2 linked regions of the Kluyveromyces lactis genome follow. The protein of the gene in region 1 purifies or fractionates together with the protein of each later gene. This does not show direct contact. Links are inferred from orthologs where the notes say so. Each region holds a gene or a part of one and is shown on either strand. Other genes may lie near its edges.

Region 1 (3,409 bases):
CATGATAGCATTTGGAATGTATAGCAATGGAGCAACAAGGGCCACAGTAAACAAACCCCAGAATGGGTACAAGTAGAAAGCCGATCTTGGATGTCTAGACCACAATGGCTTAGAAGAGTGTTGGAACAGCTTTTGTAGTTCAATAATTTTGCTTGGAGAAGGCATCGTTCAATGTTTGGGGCTATGATTAAACAAATGTATTGGCAATCGATGAACAACAAACAAAATATACAAATACTATGAATCAAATCGAAAACTGTATTCACCAAGTGTAAACTAACTATCATAACAGTTTATTTCTTCCAAAATTTTTTTTAATCTCAGTATCTGATATTCCCCTACTGGCTTTCGAGTGGTGTGAAAATTCAACTTCCCTCTAAACAGCGAAAACTCCATAGGCTGGGAAAAGATACGGGGACATTCAGGGTAACTGCGGGGTTGTTGCACGTGATGGTGGTTTACACGTGACTTTTAGTATCGTTAGAAGGTTGTACAAGGTGTATATACGCTGTTATTGTTACTCATCAGAGTCTAGGACTATGAGACGTTTCTTACGCGCGGAGTTGTTGTTGTTGTTGTTGTTGTTGTCTTGACTATGAGTGAGACGGATGGTGTGCGGTTCTAGTTCGTCGTTACTAGTACTTTCGTCAAGGGAGTCACCACTCGCGTATCCATCGTCATTATGTTCGTAGAAATCACTGTCGCGAGATTCGTTGTCATCGTCATCTGAGAGGGCAACAGATGCTCTACGGAACTTCCGTTCATCTTTCAATTCTTGTTCCTCTTCCTCTTCTTCTTCTTCTTCTTCCTCATCCACTATGAACGAATCTATCGATCCTCTATCTTCCTCTTCCTCCTCTTCTTCTTCTCCATGCATAAAGTTCCTAGGCCGTCTTGTGGGCCATGCCTGGTCCATCTCTGAACTGAGACTCTCATCTCCCTCTTCGGCTTCCAAATCGTGCACAGTACGTGCACTCTCGGCTCTATAATTGTCCAAATCTCTCTCAACCTCTTCCAGTTCTCCGTCAGAGTACTCATCCACATCAACTTCGTCGAAGTTCTGTGCACCCGCATTATAATTCCGTATCGTAGCATTGCAGTTAGGACACACGGGACCCTCAACTTCCCATTGGCAATTGCTACACCTTGCTATCCCATCGTCATCATCGTCTATGATGGCTTTGGCAGTATTCTTAAACACACTGTTGAATAGCGTTTCTTCCAACAGGTCAGACTTGTATTCAGCAACGGAGCATTCTCTTTGTGTGAGCAGTGATCGTACTTCGGAGGAATTCGATTTCTGTGGGTCCTCCGCTGCTATATCTAGCATCAGATCGACTATTTGTTGTAAGGCAACGTTCAACGATGGTTCATTGGTAATCACATTTCGACATTGCGGACACGTTAATTCTGATACGTTGGATCGATTGTTGTTCAACCAGTTATTCAAACATTCGTAACAATAGTTGTGTCCACAGCTCGTCATGACTGGTACAAACATATAATCGTGGCATATCGTGCATACTGTGGAATCAAGCACTCTGCCCACGATTCGTAAATGATCCGCATTGGATTTTTTCGGTATAACCGTATGTAAATGTCCGTTCATCTTGATAATGAGGTGAAGATCGAAGTTATCGTTTCTTAATATAAAGCGGGTTCGCCTGCCATCCAATTGAATAATGTATCCCTAATCATCTCGCGATGTATTGTTTCGCAATCGCAGCTTTTTAAAGGTTTTTTCCTGTTTTTGGTCTTAAGGGCTTTTCTTTTTAAGAAACTGAACGAAATAATGGCAACAATGTAATGCACAAGAGACGAAGATATAGCGTACGGCTAAGTAAGAGTTCTTATAATTGGGATATTATTCTCGAATAAATATACATATATCTTTACATATATTGAAATGCTGAATTAAATTTTGTTGTTGATGATGTTGATGCTAAGGTATATACGTCAGGCCTAGTTTTCATTCTCTCCGATATTCTATTTACAAGTGGAGAGATGACAATGGTAAGACGAGGACGCAGAGAAATATATTTAACAGCTCTTTATTTGAGCTTGTGTTGTGCCAGTGTCCTATTTCACAACCTCTTTGGGTGCCTTTCTATACTGCTTTTCCAGTTCCAACTGTTTTTGATAAGTTGAAGTCTGATGCTTGTATACTTCATGATCTAACCATTTTCTTAGATACGTCATTAACTCTTTGATGGCATCTAGCCCTTCAAGCTTGGTAAAGGCATATCTTTTTCGTAGTTTCTCATACTCCACTATCATTGCGTTGGTATCCTCACAATTAAATTTATCAAAGTAAGCGATGTTGTATTTCACAGTACTCAACAAATATTTAGTGACGATAACATGGGATTCGTTATTCAACTTCTTTAAAGTTGATAAAAATTTCTTTGGCTCCTTTAACCTCACGAAAAATGCAAGCAATGACCTGTATATGATATAAGTAGCCCTACTGTCCGTTGGGTCCCTGGTCACAATGCTCTTTGCAAATAATTTGTCACATAGGTATCTGCCTTTGTATCGAGACGCTAACATGGCCAATTGGATATAGTTCTGGAAATTCAATTCGCGTTGATGCTCCTTCACAAATCGTTCGATCATTTTTAAACTCTGAGATCTCATGATTTCATTAGGTTGTTGTGCTTTCCGTAGTTGATATGCTAATTTGTACAAGTTTGCACGTAAGTTTAGAATTTTGACCTTCAAAGGAATGGTCCTATACGAGCTCTTGAGCGTCGTATCCAAAATGTTACACATCGGTAAGTGGCCTTTGTTCACACAGAACTTTTTCAAGGTGTAGAAGAACTGAAAATTAGGCCTTATCCCTAACCTGGCTTGATCCATTATTATCGTTCTCGCACGGCGGTAACGACCGTTTTCTAAGATCTTCTCTACCCTTTTCAAAAGTTTAGTGTCGACCCGTTGTTCATTTCTTCTGGAAAAAGTGTCATCTCCTGTGACGTCCGAAGTTTTCTCATATGATTGCAGCTCCATGGAACGAGATAACCATGGGTACGTCCTTTTATACCACCTGTTATCAAATAATGATTTCATTTCGAGTTCTAACTCCGTGCGAAGGATAGGGTACGCTTGGAAAGCACATTCCCATATTTGGAAGAACAAATAAGGATCTAATATCAAATTATTGGACTCCGACTCTTGTATTAGTTTTATATGATCCATAAAATCCATTAAAAGACCCTTTTTGACGTAATATTTCAATATACAGGAATGATGGAATTGTCTGAGATCAACTTCAGGATCATTTTTAATGAGAGTAATCGTCTGCTGAAGCATGTCATAGTTATTCTGCTCCACAAACTGATTTAACAATTGCAGGTACAAAAAAGACCGTTCTTTCCGATTTATTTGTGGTATAAGTATCTCGATCTCG
Region 2 (3,826 bases), about 320 kb from region 1:
TCTTCGCTGGTCAAAGTCGAAAGAGCAGCATGTGACAACTATCAGGAATAATTTAAACCAATGGAATTTTGTCTTCAACACACGTTTTACCAAACTCGCTTGCCATGTATTTATCTATATTTGTCATGTCATCCTGAGTCATTCATGCTGAGTTCAAAGTCAATTCCGACCCTTCATTGTCGTTTAGCTATGAATCTTTTCTTATAGTGAAAAAGAAACTATTCCCGGACAATTCGTCAACTCCAGGAATCTCTATGATATATTCTATAGTTAAGGTACCGTCTGTAGCTATCATACTAATATCTAATATACCTCGAATGTATGAAGCGAGTTATCTTGGATCAAAATTTCTTTGTGCATTCATTTCATCATTCTAGTTCTTGATTTAAGGATCTTTCACCAGAAGTCATAGAATAACTCTTACAGAACCATTAAATGATTGAAGCATGAAAAAAGCAGTCGATACTTTTACGGGCTTAGCAAAATTATCCTTCTCTCAACCCTTTGAAGTTTAGTTCTCTGGATGGGACCCTTATTCTTTTGTCAAGCCATTTAGATGTACTAAAAATTAAAGAACTAGTCAATCAAACAAAAGAAAGACACATTATTCGACAAATACCGCGAGGAGTGTATATAGTTTTTTATTTATTTATTTGTACTAATACATGATATATGAGTTTTTCATTCCAACTTGGCTTTCTTGGAAGGTCTTTCAGACTTTGAGGTTTCACCTTCTGAATCGGAGGCGGATGCTTCTGAATCAAATTCTTCAGCGACATCGTCATCTTCGTCGGACGCATGGAAATCTTCATCTACAGATTCTTCATCCTCACCTGCAGAACCCATGTTAATATCTACATCATCATCATCGCTGTCTGAGCCGAAGGCAGTCTGCAGTCTCTGTTCTGCTTCCTTATCTTCGTTCTTTACCCTCAAGTTTTTGGACCTCAAGAATGTCTCTAGAAGTTGTTGTTCCTCTTTAGAAATATTAGCAAAAGTAGTAGTACCTCTATTGGCACGCATAACAACTTCCAAATCGAATGTTCTGGCTGATGTAGATGTCTGACCAGCTCTTGAAATATTGACCGCAGCAATATCTTGGAAGGGTATATATAGGGTTGGTTTCGTCAAGAACAAAAACGCATTGTCCAATGGGTATAAGTGGCCTTCATTGACTTTGTATGAACAGGATACCGCGCATTGGTCATACTTAGACTTGTATTCACCAGGAACAATGACTCTTCTTCCTGTCAAACCCTTTAAGACATGACTTAGTACAATGTGAGTTTTAGCATCGTATTGTTTCTTTAGTTTATCCTTGTAAAGCTTTTCGAACTCATCATCTTCCACATTTAGTTGGACTTCTGTTTCCTCGTCCTTCTGGAATTGTAACACCAAGAATGGGTAGGATGTCTGACCTTGACGGATTGGTGGATCAATCGATAAAACCATCAAGTAATGGATGTCGTCAGCTTTTGGCAAAGAGAAGATTCTGTTTATTTGACGATGTTGTAACTTGTACTCATAAGTCTTACCTCTAAGTCTGATAGAGTTTTTGTAGATATCAATGTCGTAACGGCCTCTTGGCGTAGTGAAGAACAGATCCTGGAAAGAAATGATGGCATCACCAGAAATTTCACCGATATCTGCCTTAGATCTCAATTCTTCGTAGAAATATTCTGCTAAAGTCTTCTCTTCTTGAACGTCTGGTTCTTCACTACCCTCTTCCGTCTTAACCTCCGACTTAACACCGTCTTCTGCTTCTGCTTCGTCCTTTACCATGATTTGATCTTGATCTTCATTTTCTTCAACTGTGCCTGGAACATATAACCTCATTTCAACAAGTTCATCACCTGCAGGATTATATGCCTCATTTTGGGTGTCAAATTCTAATGCAATCTCATTTTTTGCTGTTAAATTAGTGTTATTGATGTGCGTGTAAGGGATTTCAAAAGTTGGCTTACCGTTCAATGAAAAAACCATTTCGTTTCTAGCTAAGTCCAATTTACCCCAATTCCAACCACGTAAAGAATGTTCCCTGTGCTCTAATTGCATGTTGAATCTACGTTGGAAGTCATTCTTCAATAGGTTGAAATCCTCTTGTTGGAACCCATCCATTTGAATCAATCCCTTATTCTTAGTACTAATTTTCAATTCGTAGCCTCTACATCCTCTACTCCATTGAACGGAAGAAACCTCATCTGCAGCCAATAGCAAAGGTTCATTATTTTGAGTAGAGGCTGACCCACCTGTAGCGGATGCCTTCCAACCAAGACCTCCTTCAGCTAGACGGAAACGTCCACCGAGCTTGGATTGGTTGTAATAAATTCTATCGAAATCTGTACTCATTCTCCACTATCCCAATATAAGAAATAAAAAGTAGGTATCCAAGACGAAGATCACTAGATTTCAGTAATACTGACCTGTCTAACGTAAACTATGGGCTAACAACTCTGCCTACCGTTAACGGTTTCATATGTCTTCTTATTTGTTCATGTTTTAACAACATCTTAAACACTTTGGCGATTTTTCATTTTCATTTCTAGTAAAGTTTCCAATTCGCGTCACGTTGACAAGAGGTAAGATGGGGGAGTGAACGGAAAAGAGACAGTTTTTACACACGAAGAACTATCAGGTCGAGGCCCACCCCCCTGTTGCCGGAGGAACAATGTATGATACTGCAATTACCGCTAGGTCATAAATTTGGTTAATGTAGGAAGCTGTATATAGTTTGTTATAAAATAATAACTAGGTGGAAAGAATAAAGGAGGCAGCTCATTTGAAAATGAATCTACAATTTGGAATCAACACCCCTGAGGAATTCGACCAAACCGATAGCTCCTGGGTCCGGAATTGCTTCAGTGTCTTCCACGTAAGATGCACGGCCGAACTTGGCTTCTAAGTTTCCTGTAGATTCTGCACCTCCTTCCGCCTTGGAAAAGGCCTTATGGAAGTCCTGAGTTGAACTAAACTCTTTCACGAATGGCTCCAAGGCATCGATCATAGTAGAATCACCTGGCCTAGCTCTAGTATATTTACACAATGTCTCGTATGCAACTTCTAGCGATTTGGCGAAGGCTTCTTTGTCCACCGCATCATTTTCTCCGCATTGTTCAATAATTCCTTTTGAAAGGCCCGAAATGAATATAGAGTACAAACCACCGGATGTACCACCCATTGCGGATTCAATATGATCAGAAATTTCTGCAAGGGTCTGAGACAAATACTTGGAGGATATTTTATCCAAGTTTTCAGTGATTGCCTTAGCGCCAGCTACTAACGTATAACCACAGTCACCGTCACCAACTTGGTTATCCAAATGTGTAATATGAGGTTCACTTTTAATCAATTGATCGGCACCTGCCTTCAACAGCTCCGATAATTTCTCGAAGTCGTATGTTCCAGCCTTTTTAACGTCAATAACATCCTCGAGAATACCCTCGTCATATGTAGGAGATTTACCCATTTCGACATCTTTTATTGGCCATGCTGGCGCCTCTGTATGGTCGTTTAATAAGTCAAGCACAGATTTTACTTCGCTGAACTCCTTCTTGATAGCTCCAGATGACTTTGACGCATTGAACAACGTGATACTGAATCCATTTCCATTGAAAGATGTCATTAAAGTTCCGCAAATACTTTGAACTGGAGTAATGTCATAATTCTTTTGTAAAAAAGATTTCGTGATATCAACGATGGCAGTTAAGATGAAGTTAGACACACCACCTAAATTGTTGACAAGGAGAACTACCTCGTCTTTTTTATCAAAAGATACAAAATGTCTGTCTTCATCCTCTGAATCAAGTAACTTGGGTAGCATATATTT

What was found.
Region 2: the proteins of PSH1 (region 1) and POB3 purify together in Saccharomyces cerevisiae (affinity purification with mass spectrometry; 4 studies listed by BioGRID, with this or other methods). This does not show direct contact. The link is inferred for Kluyveromyces lactis from reciprocal best matches to the Saccharomyces cerevisiae genes PSH1 and POB3.

What each region holds. Positions count from the first base shown.
Region 1 is NC_006038.1:766,008-769,416, reverse strand, and holds PSH1 (ubiquitin-protein ligase PSH1), read right to left. Parts: upstream 1,610-3,409; coding exon 518-1,609; downstream 1-517. Other genes in the region: COX7 (cytochrome c oxidase subunit VII), read right to left, coding at 1-165; PET111 (Pet111p), read right to left, coding at 2,080-3,409.
Region 2 is NC_006038.1:444,655-448,480, reverse strand, and holds POB3 (FACT complex subunit POB3), read right to left. Parts: upstream 2,350-3,826; coding exon 682-2,349; downstream 1-681. Other genes in the region: DAK1 (dihydroxyacetone kinase), read right to left, coding at 2,792-3,826. UniProt on the Saccharomyces cerevisiae protein: Component of the FACT complex, a general chromatin factor that acts to reorganize nucleosomes. The FACT complex is involved in multiple processes that require DNA as a template such as mRNA elongation, DNA replication and DNA repair.